2 linked regions of the Elephas maximus indicus genome follow. The protein of the gene in region 2 interacts with the protein of the main gene of each other region in a biochemical or structural test. Links are inferred from orthologs where the notes say so. Each region holds a gene or a part of one and is shown on either strand. Other genes may lie near its edges.

Evidence for each region. The genes of interacting proteins can lie anywhere in the genome.
Region 1: the proteins of NOTCH1 (region 2) and NUMB form a complex in vitro, tested with the Homo sapiens proteins (2 studies listed by BioGRID). The link is inferred for Elephas maximus indicus from reciprocal best matches to the Homo sapiens genes NOTCH1 and NUMB.

What each region holds. Positions count from the first base shown.
Region 1 is NC_064828.1:86,240,577-86,247,886, forward strand, and holds the start of NUMB (protein numb homolog), read right to left. Parts: upstream 3,097-7,310; 5' UTR 3,013-3,096; intron 1-3,012. UniProt on the Homo sapiens protein: Regulates clathrin-mediated receptor endocytosis. Plays a role in the process of neurogenesis.
Region 2 is NC_064827.1:3,026,815-3,034,768, forward strand, and holds the start of NOTCH1 (neurogenic locus notch homolog protein 1), read right to left. Parts: upstream 3,097-7,954; 5' UTR 2,896-3,096; coding exon 2,832-2,895; intron 1,164-2,831; coding exon 1,079-1,163; intron 1-1,078. UniProt on the Homo sapiens protein: Functions as a receptor for membrane-bound ligands Jagged-1 (JAG1), Jagged-2 (JAG2) and Delta-1 (DLL1) to regulate cell-fate determination.

The sequences.
Region 1 (7,310 bases), on a different chromosome or scaffold from region 2:
TAATCTTTGGAACCTGTATCATTAAAAAAAAAAATAGCAAACTTGTTTTGCGGAAAGACTGCTTCACCTTTTGATCTCAAACATGCAATGATTATATGTTTTGCAGCCTCCCAAACAAAAATAAAAACTTTAAAGAAACAAAACTCTGAAATAGAACTAAAAATGATCTTTGAGGGAAAAAAACTAATCTGAAATCCTCATGCAAAGCTACACCAATAGTTTCTTCACAATTTCATAAAACATTAATGAAAGGGTTACATAAATCCCCAGATTAAAGATTTTAAAGAGAGCTGCAGGGATCTCCTTCAGTTTTCAATACTGCTATCTCTGTTCTTCTATTCACAAAAACACATCTAAATCAACTCCTTCTAAATATAAACCATCTCATTTTCAGAAGAAAATTCAAACCAAGAACAGCACAAAACGTATTTATTCTTAATATAGCTTAAATAAAGTATTATAGTTTACATTTAGTTCCCTCAAACAAATTAAATTCACAACATATAACATGTCCAGTTCATTCTCAAGGGAGAAAACCATCAAAACAAAAGCTCCTGTTTGATAAACTATTCTGTAGTTAAGCCTCTTCTATTGCAGGTGAATTTTGCTATCAAGTATTATCACAACTTATTCTCTCCACAAAAACCTAGAAATCTATAACACATAAGTAAAATATACCTAGTTCCCCTAAAAATGTCTGTTTTGTATCAGTGCAAGGCCAAGAAAAGCTTTAAAAATACTTTTTATTCTCTAAAAAGGAAATACTCTGCCTGCTTTTCTCTTTTCAAATATGTCTTAATTGGTTTTTGATTATTTTCTACGCATGTAATGCTCTCAAATCAGTTCCTTTCAATATTAGATGTTTACTGACAATACATCACTGTATACTTTGGCTTTTCACAGACAATGTCTTACAGGACAGGGGTAAAAAAAGAAAGGGTGAACAGGTGGGCACAAGTGAAACAAAAGCGTACTACATCTGAGAAGCACCACTCAATTTCTCTGCTTCAAATTCCCTTAAGTCTCCATGCCAAAGATTCTCAATATCCAAAAAAGTTCTACAGCCAGGAGAGGTACAACAAAATATGTGATCAGACAGACACCCCCCCCGCCCCCCCAAAAAAACCAGAAGCTAAAGAGATTTAATGGAATCTATATATCACCACCTCAGAAGGAATTACCACAAAAATGAGAAAAATAAATCATAATAAATCTAGTTCCCAGATAGCCCTACTGGAGGGTTGCTTTTGCAGCCACTACATGGCTCAAAACAGTTTTCAGAGTATTCTCACTGCAAGAAATACATTTCACTTTGCAACCTAGTACACACAGGTATTGACCAAGTGCGATGCACTATTCTGTTCTATTTCATTTTATTTTCAATGCAGGTTCTAGCTCACTAAATTGATCTATAACTTACTAATAAACCATGAAAAACAAGCTTAAGAGTGGGTATCCTTCATTTAGGAGCTTTTTTTTTTTGCAATTTGCCTCTACCTGTCTCTTTAGCAGAGTGGATAGGTATCTTAAGGTTGCTGCATTATTATTGTTTTCATTAAAGCAGCGGTTCTTTAAGTGTGGTCCCCTGACCAACATAAGCCTCACCTGAGATAAATACAAACTCTCAGGCCCCACCCCAGACCTACGGAATCAGAAACAATCTCAACAACTCCAGGTGATTCTGATGCAAGGTAACGTTTGAGAATCACCACATTAAAGACCCCAGGTGTTTTCCTTGTCTTCTATTTAACAATCCCATGCACATCAGTTACTATGTCCAATCACTATTCTAGAAGCTCTACAATGATTAACTCATGTAACAACATTCTCATCAAACAGGCAAGTAACTTAACCTTGCTTTTTTTTTTAGGACCTTTTCTCTGGTCCTAGATAGCATCTTAGTATGAATTATGACGCTCAAGTTTCTTTTCTTTCTGAAGACCTTACAACCTATCCATGGCCCCCACCGTTAATGCTTCCTATCTGCTGTTCTGCCAGTTTCCACTCTCTGGGTGAGCAACTTTCTCGCCTTATCTACTACTCCCTTCCTACAGGGAAATTATCTGCCCCCACCCCATCCCATTTTGCTTGACTCCTTTCTATCCGAGGGAACTTCCACACCCCTGCTGGACCCTCACCCCAGTCTCAAACCCCAGCCACTGCTCTAAGGTTTCTCTCCTGGATCCCCGATTATCCTCAGACCCCGAGCTCCCAGTCTAGTCTGTGGGGGGCAGGACACTCCAGTTCCCCCCCAAAGCAGTTCGAGGTCTCCACGGGTCCGACCCTCCGAAGACCCGCCGCTCCTCATCTGTCAGGAGCTCTTCTCCCTCAGACAGCCGCTTTTCTCAGGAAGGTTCCCAGCCCCCTCCCTGCCTTTCCTCAGACGTCCTCACTCGGACCCAGGCCGCTCCCTGTCATCCGGGACCCCCGGCCGCCCTACGTTAGCTTCCCACCTCCCTTCTCCCTCCGACCGGGGCCACTCCCAATTTCCCCGGCCCCCAGCTCTCTCGCTCACGGGCCGCTCCCGAGCTTCCTCTTCTCCCTCACAACACAGCCGTCCTAGGTGTTCCCGAGTCACCCCGCCCTCGAACCAGGTCGTTACCGGTCACCCCCTCTCAGCTATCAGAGACCCCAGCCGCTCCCGTCTTCCCAGGGACCTACCCCTCACACACCGGCCGCTGGTCAGCTCCCCAGACCTGACCACTGGGACGCCCCAAGGGACTTCCCGGCCTGACCTGCTTGGGTCCGGCCCAAGCCTACCTTCTCAGCCGGAACTGCGCCGCCAGAAGCCGGGCCATTCTCCCACCAGCCCAGTCAGCGAGAACTCGCCGCCGCCGCCGCAGCAGCAGCCGCAGCCGCCGCCGCCGCCGCCGCCGCCCCCGCCCTGGCCCCGGCCCCCACCGGGCCCGCACTCCAGGCCCCTTTCCTTTAGTCTCCGTCCCCGGAGCGCCAAGCCGCAGTTTCCGTCCTGCGACAGCCGCCAGGGCTCAGGCCCGCGTTACCGGCACTCACCTGCCGCTGCTCCAGACCAACTCCAGTGCCACTGCCTCTACCTCGGCCGCCAGTAGCCACCTAGCGCCACCACCTCCCCCATGACAACAGTCCCACCCCGTTTCGTACTTCCCACCTACCCATTGGTCAGTGGAGCGGCAGCTCTCTCCTTTGATTGGTTGACCTAACCCGCCCGTCACAGCTTCTTTGCCGCCCCTTTTCCGGGACCCGGTATTTGCCCCCGCCCGGACCTGGAGAGTCCTAGACTAAACTTTAGTTGTGATTGGGCGATGATTGCACAGTTCGACGTTTTGATAGGCTTTTGAAAGTGCCTGTTATGTCAATTGGCAAAGGATGTGACAGCCAAGGTTGGTTCAAGCTTGTGAACAGTTTGGTTGCGCAGTAGCAATCAAAGAAGGGGCAGATACTCACATCTAAGGTTACCGGGAAAGGGTTAACTCTTTGTTGTAGCGTTCCCTCTGTCAACTCCTCCCGTCCTCCAGCTTCCTTCATTTAAGCACAAGCTTATCACTAATAGGCTACTTGTACGGGTAGTAATTACAAAACGCCCACGTCAGAGGGGGAAAGGCACTATATAGATTACAAAAAAAAAAATTTCCCTTTCTTTTCTTTAAGGTCTCAGTGCGCCCAATTTCCTTTAAGTTCTTTCCAGGAGTCTGCACACTAAAAGCGCAACCGTTCATTTAGCAGCAATCAGTCCACTTCAGTTGCAATTAAAAATATCTCTAATAAATTGAAGTGGCATGTTGAGAGTTCTCCAACTTCCGAACTCGCTCCAGGCAGCCAACATCAAGTTTGGACTAAGCAAGCGACATATTATCCTTGCGATGCTCTGGAAATGAGAATCCCGCCCTCCCCACCTCCTTAAATGTGGCTTTTATGTTCAGCACTTCTGAAATAGCCCTACTAGCTGCATGTCAGATACTTAGAAAGCTTGTCTTTTTTTCTAAACCTCTCCTCTTCCTAGCAGTCTTTAGTCTAAATTAGGTCCACAGAATGAATTGCAGTTCTTTTCTCACATGGGCATGATGCGCAAGAATAAATGATGACTTTTTTTTATTCATTTGGGTACAAATCACAGTAGGCATTTTTGGGAAATACGGTGTTGCTATAAAAACTCTTGTGCTTCTACAAATATATTCATCATTAGTTTTTGCTTTGCTTTTTCTTCCCCGCCCCCACTTTTCCTGCTCCTAAATAACAAAATGCTGGCCTGACTACTGCTTCAATTTCTAAATCAGATCTAAACATACCTTCTTCACATCTCTGTTAATACACAAAACTACGGGCCATGAAACATACACCAGGGATGGGATGGAACACCATCAGGAATCCACTCACAGGCACTACTTTATGGTCAGGAACTTCCCGTACAACCAAGAATCTGGACTTCAGAAATTTTGTGCTTTGCCCCTTCTTCCTTCTAACCCTTGGTCTCATCTCTCTTCTATTTGCCCTACTGTTCTTTGCAGAGGAAGCAACAAGAAGTCTAAAACTGTGTGGCTTGTTATCCAGAGAAAAGCTGTCTATTTTCTAGCCTGTATTTTTAGTCATTTAAATAAACTACACACCTCTATCACCAAACTAAGCGAAAATTATTCCTCCAGTAAATATACAGAGCAATAAGGTGTCTTTTCCTAGTTATTTTCCGGAACTTCCCTCCCCCTTCTCTCATCTTCACGTTCCAATTTAGAAATCACCTCCTATTCAATTCAATGACTCATAAAAAGCCTGTAAAAGGAAAATGGAAAAGCCAAAACAACTTTGGAGGTGCCTGAATCATTCAGCAGAAGGAAAGATCAGACGTTGACCATGATAAGATGGAAGCCAAGACATAAGGCAAGCCTGAGCTAACATGCCATAACAGATGAAATAACATGCAACTGTGAAGATGCCCCAGTGAGGAGGCACCACTTGTCCTTTTACACAGCATTTTAACATAGCAGCAGCAGCTTTCTCCCCTCCAGCCTTGGCAGTGTGCTGTACCTACCAATTTTAGAACAAGTTAGAAGGCAATTAATGTCCTGGCAGATAGGAAACAATAACGTCATAGGAGGTCATGGCCATTATTATGGTACTTTGGGTAATAATGGCTCTTGCACAGCTATAGTGACTATGTGCCATAGAGAACATAGAATTAGGCCAGCCTCACTAAGAGAACTTGCCATCTAAGTTCAGCAACTCAACAAAATTACTATCACAAAACTAGGTGGAAAATTGCCACAGAGGTCAGCTAGTCATTCTATTTCACACACTTAAAAATAAAAAAGCATTGATAAATGCTTTTGCTCATACATGCATACATACTTCCATCACACCCACTCCTTGTGAAAATCAGTTAAGAAAATAAATTTAAAATAAGACATGTAAAGGTGATCGTTACGACCTAAGAAGAGGGGAAATCTTAAAGAAGGAAGGTTTTAAGGAACATGCTTTGAACCAACGGAAAACTATTGTGTTATCTAAGCCTGTGAAGTTTTGGAAAGGTTATTGCTTGTAGCCTACGTTTGGGTTTTGCATGCACAAGGTAAACTTACAACCTAATTATTCTTCCCAGATTCTCTTTTCTTTCCTGTGTTATGTGCTTCTCCACTGCTCTCCATGTCCTCCTCTTAGAAAGCAAGAGCACTGGAGTCTGGGAGTCTGCAGCGTTGTTATGTAGCTGGCTGTTGAGGTGGTACAGATGGTTATCCGTTCAGAGCCACTTGAACAAGACCAGGATGGCAGGTATAATAAGGATAAAAACAGCCCTATAAATCCCAATTTAAGTGGGAGGTGGAGGACTCAAAGCGAAGTCCCATTACCTGAGGAGAGATATATATACCTCGGGCTTTATTGTACACTAATGCTACTTTTCTCCTATTCTCTTTTCATAATATCACATTTCAAGGGAGCGGAATGCAAACTCCTTTCATTTCTATTTTAGTCCAGGGAGGCAATCTGGCTGAGGAAAAGTTCCACTTTTTGTTTTTGAGGGGTTTTTTACCCTGGGGTTCTACACACAATTCCAACTGGATTAGAGAAACAAACAACTGGTAGAGAAGAAAAGTGCTCAGATAGCAGACAGGAGCTGGAGCTACCTACTACTAGCAGCTGGAGACAAGCCAAGATATTTGATAAGAGGTGGTTCCCTGAGTTAGTGATCCCTGAAAGTGAAGGCTAAAAGGGATGAAGGAATTGGAGAGGAAGGAGGAGAGAGAGAAGAGATTAAAAAAAGAGAGAGAGCGAGAGAAGGCTAGGAGAGAAGAGGGTAAGGAAAACTAGAAAGAGAGTCAAGAAGTTACAGAGTGCTGAGCCAGCCTGGAATCCTGCCCCCTTCTCTCTGGCTGTGGACTTTACTCTAGGTTGCATAATTCCACCAGCAAAGTGCAGCCCCTGACACTGGTTGAAAGGGGTGGTGTGCCAGGCCTATAGGACTGTTACTCTCCTGCCACCTGGAAATTCTCCCTGAGCTCAAAGCCTGCTGTTCTGGCACCAGGGCAAAGCTGACAAGGAAGGACAGATTCACGCAGCCAGCCAAGGAGTGTGGTTCTTCATGCAATTTCATAAAGGTGACCACTGGCATGGAGTTCTGGCCAAACAATGGGAGATTATCCGGGAGAAGATGTTTTCACCACTCCACACTGGGGAGCGTCCAATACAGGGAAGTGCCAAGCTGCTACACTCCACACTGAAACAAAGCTCTATGGTTCAAAGTTTAAGGTTCTGTTTCATGCAAAAAGAAATGGTAGAAAGGGGCGTTCTGTCAGGCACAATCCTTTGCTTTTCAATTTCAGGGCTCATATGATTTTTAATAAGTGTACCATACCTTCTCATTATTCAGTGTGTCCATGTTCACCCTCAAAAATGTATATGCCCCTCACTCACCCACCCACCATGTATATTATAGGCAAAAGGGCTTCAGTGCTTGTAAAATGAGTGGGCTGCAGCTCTTAGCTCAACCATTGTGTTATTGAATAGAGCCTCTGGTTACTATCACCAGATCTATGGGTGGACCAGCCATTCTTCTGCAGTGGGAGGGAGCCGCTCAAAGCTCTTAGTGCCATTTACAGTTTTATCCATGCCTGTTCTACACACACACAAAGAATTTCCTGGAAACATGGCTATACTCCAAGGATTTCAAAGAGTAGAATCCCTTCTAGAGTTCCAGTTTCTTAGTCACTTGGAACCTCATAAGGAAACAGACTTGAACTCAGACTCTTGAACCTAATATGTTCAGATCCTGGCTCTGCAACTTACTAGCTATACGACTTTGGAAAAAGCTGGTTCTTCTCCCTAAGCTTCAGTTTCTTCATCCA
Region 2 (7,954 bases):
GCCGCAGAATCCCAGCTGTCGGCCTCTGAATGAAAGGAAACAAGATTTAGGGCATCAAGCGTCAGTGTGGCTTCTGCAGAAGGAGAAGGCCCCCAAAAAGCAAAAAAAAAAAAGTAGCATGCATTCATTAGCATCTGACAAAGGAACATTCCGCTCTGTCCATTAAACTGCTCACAGACCTTCGTAATTGGCTTCAGTTGGTGGGCGGGGGCCCGGGGGCTGCTGGTGGGCAGGCCAGCCGGTGGTGCAGTGGGCCGGGTTGTCAGGGGAATGGGCCCATCAACGGTTGGAATGAGGGCGCGCCGGGGGCAGACCGGGAGGCGGAGTGGACGGCTCCCCAGGGCCTCCTCAGTATTCCCATCAGGGGCAAACTCAAGTTGAAGGACATCGGGGAGCAGTGAAAACGTCCCGAGGCAGACTGGCACTCCAAACAGATCTCTCAGCCCCCCTGTGCCCACTCTCCAGCTAAGCCAAGGGCCGTGGATGGCGCTCATGAGGCTGGGAGTTTGCAGAGCCAAGAGAGAAACCAGGCTTCCCGATAGACACCCCCACCCATAGAGATGGGCGGGGCCGGTTCAGGCTTCTCTCCCCAGTTTCACCCTGAGGCCTTGGCGCAATGGGCTGGGGAAGGCCCAGGCCTAGAGAGTTAGGTTTTGTTTTGAAACAGTCAATTTCTTTCTGAGAGGCTCACCTGCCCACAGGTGCTCAACCTGCCCAGAAGAGATGCTCCCCAGGTGGCAGTGGAAGTCCTGACCCCTTGACAGGTCAGCCGTTTCTCAGGGACTTCAGGGAGAAATGGGCTGCCAGGATACCCACCTAGGGCCCAGTAGGCCGAGGTGGCCACGAAGAGGGAGCCCAGGACCCTCCCTCCGAGGCCTGGCCAGCTCACGCGCAGCCTAATTGCGGGTGATTAAGTAATTGCCAGACTTTGTCCAATAAAAGTCAGCACGTGACGTGCCCAGCCTTCTGGGCCATCTCCACCAGACAATGGCCTAGTGTTCTGTCCCCGGCTGCCGCAGAAGGCAGGGACTCCCGCTCCCATAAAGCAACAGGTCCCCGTGGGGGCGCGCATACTCACAGACAGGCCTCCGTGCCATTGGCAAACACTTCACACTTCCCGCCATTCAAGCAGGTCTCCTCACCAGTCTGGGAACATCGCAGGCCTGGGGGGGCCGGGGGAGAGACAAGAGGGTCAGCAGAGCCTCGGCTTCTGGAACGGCCCATCTCTGAGGACAGAAACCTAGCCTCTGTCACCAGCTCCGGACTAAGTGCCGCCATCAGACCTCACCTCGGGGGCCCTTCACTCAGAGTCCTGGGGTTGCAGGGGCAGGGGGCACCGGGAAGCCCCAGAATGAACCCCGAAAGACTTCAAAGTTCCAGTCAGAAATGGGGGCGGGGTGGGCTGGCAGGTGGACAGGCAGTGCTCAAAGTGGGGAGTGACTGATATGCCCCCTGGCAGCAGCGGAGAAAAGTGATGTCTCCCGGCGCCACTCTCCCAACTTTACACCCCCACCTCCCCAGTTTTCTTCAGAGAGCCACACGGGGCTGGGGGCTAGGGCCCCCACCCAGCCACTGAGGCTGTCTTGATGTTTAAACACGCTGCCGGGACGTGGTGGCGGCGGGAGGGTCGGGGCCGCCACACTCGGCTCCCCGCTCGTGGGAAAATGCGACAGCTGCGTGGCCCGCCGCCCCGCCCGCCAACAGAGCGCCGTCGCGGAATCAGAGCGGGCCATTGTCGCGCCGGCCGCCTCCTGCGTCCTGGCCGCCCCGCCCCTGCGGACACCCAATACCTGCTCCCGCGGGGCCATCTCCAGGGGCAGCCCCACCACACCCATGGGAGGGTGGGGAGCCCCGCTGGGAAGGAATGCGACCCCCTTCCCGAGAACCGGTCCATAAACGAGGCCCCGCCCTTCCCTCTCACCCGCCGGACAAGTGAAGCCGTCGGGGGGCGGGGGGAGGGCGCTGTGACAGGGACTCGACTTTCTGAAAGGGGGAAAAATTCTCACCACCAACTTTTTGGGAAGACAGGAATTAATCACCAGATTGCCCGGAGACCCTCGGGATGGGAATCGGGCCAGGAACCGCGCTCCCTCCCACGTCTCTCTCCACCCCCCCCAAGATCGCCAAACTTGAACTCCGCGGAGCAAAGCGAAACTCGGTCCCACCAAGGCGAGTCTTCCGCACTCCCCCAAAAAGTCTGTAATCCGGGATCCGCACCCCCCCCCAAAGAAAGGCTGTGAGCCGGGCTGGCGGCCGGCGATCCCGCCCGGGGAGGGGAAGTCCGCGGGGGTCGGGGACCGGAGCCGCTCCACGCGCCAGCCCGCGCGAACCTTCCTGAAGGCCAAGGAGGCCGGTCGGCCCGGACCCCGCTTCCCACGGCGCCTTGCCGGCCCCGGCCGCGAGGGCTGGCCAAGGGGAACACAGAGCCGGGACCCCACGCTCCGCGCCCCAACATCCGCCCCCGGCGCGGGCCCAATGCGCAGAAACAAGACTAATGGCTCCGAGAAGCAACAGGAAACCAAAACCCACTAGATTCAAATCGAAAAGTGGTAGGCAGTCCGCGCGCCACGCGGCAAGCCCACGCGTGGCCGGGGAAGGCGAGCTTGGCGGCGGGGCCCCAGACCCCGGGACCGGCGCCCCGCGCCCAGCTCTTGATGCGGCCCCGGCGCCGGGCAGCGCGAGTCCGCCCTGCCTTGGGGGTGGGGGTGTCCCAGTCCTGGCCCGGGACTCCCGGTCTCCTCGCCCCGCCCGAGGCCCCCGGGGCGCGCGCGCAGCGCCGCCAAAGTTGGAGAGGGGCGCGGAAAGTTGCGGGCTCGCGGGGCGGCGCCTACCTCGTGCAGCGGGGAACGCCGGCAGCAGCACCAGGCAGAGCAGCGGCGCCAGGAGCGGCGGCATGCCTGCTTCCCCGCGGCGCTCCGCTGGCTGGGCGGCTGGCTGGGCGCACTCGCGCCGGGGGTCCCGCTCCGCCCTCTGCTTCCCGGGGGCGGGCGGGCGGCGCTGGCTCTCGCGGGCTCCGGCACCGGCTCCGCTTGCGATTGGTACCCAGCGCTCGCCCCGCGCCTTGCGCTCCCTCCCGCAGGCCGAGGCACTAGTGAGGCGCTGGGCCGCCTTGTGTTCCGCCCCGCCGGGCCCCGCCCCGCCCCGCCGGGCGGCCCCGCCCCACCGTGAAGCCCCGCCCCTCACACCCCATCCGCGATCCGTCTGAACCCCGATTCCCGGCCGGCTGCGCCCCTCGGCTGTGCACCCCGGGATGCGCCCCTCGGTGGGAACGCGCTGCCAGGCCAGGCGCTCGGGACCGGGGCCGCGCTCGGGAGGGTGGGCCAGGGCAGGCACTACTTGTTGGTTCGAAGTTTCCGAGGCCAAAACTTTGGGACGCATTGCGGAAGGATCCGTCTCGGCCGCTGCCGCCTCGGCGACAATTGGGGACAATTTGCATCTCAATGGCTGAGGAGGAGCGGCGGAGTGGGGAAATGAGAGGCCCCGGAACCGTGCCGGCGGGGCAGGGGCCGGGAGGCTGGGCTGATCCGCCGAGGCCGAGCTTGGGGATCCCGGCCCGGGCGGGGCTCCACTCCCAGGGCCCTGCTCCGGCCCGAGAGCCCAGGCCTGACTCCCACCGGGACGGCCGCAGCGCTTGGCCCTGAGGACCATGGCGCCACGGTTCAGCCTCTGGGGAATGGAGTCGGGCACCCCGAGGGGAGGCCCGCAGCCACCGTCTCGCGAGGGGGGCGCTCAGCGGCTCCCCCGGAGGGCCCCACGGTGGACGCTCCTCATTACTGCCTGCCCCTGGCGCCAACCACCCGTGGGCCCTGGAGAGCCAGCCCTGGCGCGGCCTCCGGGCTGGCCTACACGTGCTCTGCCTGGGCGATGTGTTTCTCTGCGCGATGCCCCAATAGGGTGCCCTGTGCCAAGCCGGCTAAGCGCTGGGCGCCCAGAATGACTGCCACAGTCCCTGTCCACCAAAGGTAGACGGACTAGCCCCAGGGACAGGCACCCCATCCTGCATCAGGGCAGTGAGCCCAAGGGCAGGAGGTGCACCCACCGAGCTGCGCGTCCTGGAGTAGGCGATGCCAGCTGAGGGGTAAAGGCTGAGAGACCTAGTGGGGAAGGGTGTTGGGGATGGGAACACCCACAGGACTGCTGGGGTCCCCAGGCTTCTGGAGGAAAGGAGGCAGCCCTGCTTAGGGAGGTGGGCAGACTCCCACATGGCCAAGCCCGCTTCCTGCCTGTCTTGGCCCACCTGTTGCTGCGCAGCCACCGCAGGGAGACCCTGCCAGTCCAGCCCCTCGGCTGCTGGAGGCCCTTGGCTGCTGGAAGCCCCCGGGCGCCTCCTCCCAGAAGCTGGCGGCCCTCCTTGGAACCTTGGGTAACTTCTCGAGGTCAGTGCCCCAAGGAGGCGCCTCCAAGTAGTGGATATGTTTATGTAAGAGCAGCCGGCAGCCTGGAGGAGCAGGCTTTCCCCTAAAAGGAAGAGAGGGGTGCAGTCCCCACCCCATTTACAGACCTGGGACTCCGGGGGCATCTCACCCCCAGGCCCCTCTGCCTCTGGCCCGACTCAGGGCCTCAGGCCTGGCCCCTCAGGGTGCCACTGCCTCTGTGCCTTCTATCTGACCTCACCAATTTCCCTGGGCCACAAGTGAAGGCCCGTCCAGCTCTGTTCTGGGAGCCACTGCACACCCATCCACCCAGGAGCAGGCTGGAAGGCCAGGGGAGGAGACGGGGAGCACAGCATGGGGTCTGGGGGTCTGGGTCCAGCTGTAAGGATAGCCTGTCCACTCTGAGCCTCTGTCCTCCATCAGTGGGAAGATTGTGGCCCACTGGATGCCCATGGTCCGACCATGCAGGAAGTGGGCCCTCTCATTACCCACCTTACAGACAGCAACTGAGCCACAGACCGTGCAGCTGGCCTCCCAGCTGGGCTGCCTAAGGTCTCCACCACCTGGGGTCCCTACAAATGGCCAGGAGCAAGGGGACCCCAGGAAAGCCAAATGTAGCTGGAGGTGCAGAGGCTGAGGGTGTGGGCCGGGTAGGGACCTCCCCTCCCCTGAGGCCTGAGAACGAACGGGTGGGCCTGACTCCTGGCAAGTAGGTGAGAAGCTTTTTTATTCACAAATTAGGCTGAATATTTCTGACCTTCCTGTCTTTTACCCACTTTGGCCTGGCCAGGGAGAATGGGGCTCCTGACCAAGCAAGAGTGAGGCTAGGACTTCTGTGACCTTCTCCAGTGGGGGCAAGCAGCCTGGGGGTAACCCTGGGAAGTGGGCCTTGGGGGAGCTATGGAGAAATGATGGGGGGTGTATGTGGGGCACCTGGGATCCCAGCAGTAGAGTGTGGGAGGGACCTGGAGAAGCTGAATGGGGGCTCCAACTATGATGCAGCTTGTTGTGGGTACCCCTGGGCTGCACCCAAGCTGGCCAGGGAACCTGGGACCAGTCTGGGGGAGACTGGAGGGGTAGCTTGCAGAGGGGGGCAGGGGTGCCCAGTGGCCACCTTCTTCTCCAGGTGCCAGCATTATTGGGGTATCCTCATGGGAGGGGCTGGGGAGGCCTACTGACATTGGCCCATTCCTGTCCCCCAAAGGAAGCCCTCCCAGCTCCAGCCTGCAGGGCCATGGCCACTACTTTTCAGGACAGATGGGTCCTATGTTAACATAGAGGTGTCTGTCTGGCCCCAGCGTCTGGGCCCTTCTTTGTAGCAGTCAGCCCACAGACACTCAGGCGGTGCCTGCTGTGTACTCAGCCCCGGTTCTGTGAGGCACAGAGACCCTGGCCACCCGGTATGACCTTCAGCATGTGCAGACAGCTCAGGGCGGGTAAGGCTTCAGAGGGGAATCTGAGATCACAGGAGAGCAGTTTCCCCTGAAGTTCCAGGTGCCCTCCATGACCCCTGCAGGCCTGGGGGGCACGACACTCCCCATTTTACAGGTGAGGGAGTTGGGGTTCAGAGATGCTGTTAGGAGACTGGCTAGGGGGCAGCAGGCCCAGCATTGGTCTTCTGCAGGCGCCCGGCAGATGGGCCCAGAAAGCGGTGGGCTGTCTGTGTACGCGGCAGTGCTGGGGACCTTGCCCTGAACCCCACCCTCAAGCTCATGCCCATGATATGGGGGCGGCAGCCTGGAAGAGGTGCAGGGAAAGGAAGCTTGGTGTGGGGAGGGTGGCTTGGAGTCTTCAGGCCAAGAGGAGGCTGGGGTGGTGGTCAGGAGGCCAAAGTTTGGAGGATGGACTGACTGTGGGCGTGGCATGGTATGGCATGGCTCGTGGTGAGTGATGTGTCTCATCTGAGTGGTGGGTGCCACTGGGGAGTTGTGGGAAGATCCGGAATGCCTAGGGGTGAGGCCTCTCCACCCTTCGAAGTTCACTGTAAAATCTCTGACCTGCTTGCCAAGCTCCAGCCCTGGGGCCTGAGAAGTGGCCAGCTCCAGGGGTTCTCCTGCCTAGTGCTGCACCCCACAGTCAGGCCTACACCAGACCTGTCCGTCAGCTCTGAGCCAAGCACTGGACTCCAAATTCCGGCCTACCACTGCCCTGCTGGCCGTCCACGGGCTATCACTCACCCTGGGCCTCAGTGCCCATCGAACGAGTGATCCTAAAGCCTTTTTCCATTTCAAAAGTGGCCGGTCAACTTCGGAGGATTTCACCCCTCCTATAATAAAAAAAAATAAATAAAATAATTTTTTTTTTTTTTATTGGGACCAGGTCAGGAATGATTCTGTAACTGCAGACGTAAATGAGGGCAGCGTATACATTGCAAGACAACCAAATCTGTTGCCCGTCAGACTTTGACCAGTCAGACTTTGACCCACCAGACTTTGACCCGTCAGACTTTGACCCAGGAGGAAACGAACAGCGATGCCCTGTTCAAAGATGGCGGCTGGCTGCGCTCCTTGGAATGTGTGTCACTCTCCGCAGTCCTGCCAATAATCCAGCCTCCCGCATTAGGCTCCTGAAATTTTCGGGATCTGGCAGTTACAGAACTGTTCGCAACCTGTTGGAAGCCCTGCCTGAGAGTGGAAAGGGGCTGGCTGATCTCTAGTGTTTGCTTCCCTGCCCCCACCCCATCACAGAGCCCCTCTCCCCCAGGCCCAAGAGTGCACCCAGCTGCCCGCACCTGGCCAGCCTGCTTGCAGGTACTAGATCCCGCCCTGGGACATATTTGCCAGGCCCTGATGGGGGAGCCCCTCAGGCTCCACAACCCCTTCTCTTGCCTCCAGGTCTCACAAACATTTCTTGCTGAGGTGACCTCCCCCGTTTGTCCCTGAGTGACCGCTCAGTCTCCACCCCCTGCAGAAAGCTGTCCCAGAGCCCTGGGCAGAGTTGGGGGCCTTTCCCTGGACCCCCAGCCCCTCCGGGCTCCCAGCACTGATCCCTCAGCACGGCTAAGACTTGTTTGGTTCCTGGAAGGGAGGCGCTGCCCTGAAGGCAGGGAGGGACCTGTCTTTGCTGGGTCCTGACACCCACAGGGATGCTACCAGAAGGGCGGTAGAAGGAGGGTCCGAGGGAACAGGGGCACAGGGCCAGCAAGCGCACAGTGCAAATTCAGCTTGTCCCCCAGCCCCCTGCTGGTGGACACTTTGACCAGAGCTCCAAAGCCCTCCCCAACACGGGGTCTCCCATCCGAGGCAGCGGGTGGCTGTGAAACCCGCAGGCTGGAGGGTCAGCACCCCAGAGGCAGGCCTGTTCCCTCCGCAGGAGGCTCAGGAGAGTGGTGCCCGGGCATGTCCCCCCACATCCCTGGCTAGCGCAGGTGAGCTGACAAGGCCTGCTGGTGGTGGGCTGAGGGCTGCAGGACCAGCCTGTGGGCCACCTGGGACTCCTCATTCAAGAAATGGGGCTGCCAGGTGGGCAGTGGTGCTGGCCAGGTGGGCAGTGGTGCTGGCCCAGGGGAGACAACCCTGCCTGTCCTTTCCCGCTGGTGCAGGGCTACCTCACCTGTCCCCGGAGCCCTGACAGCTCAGAGC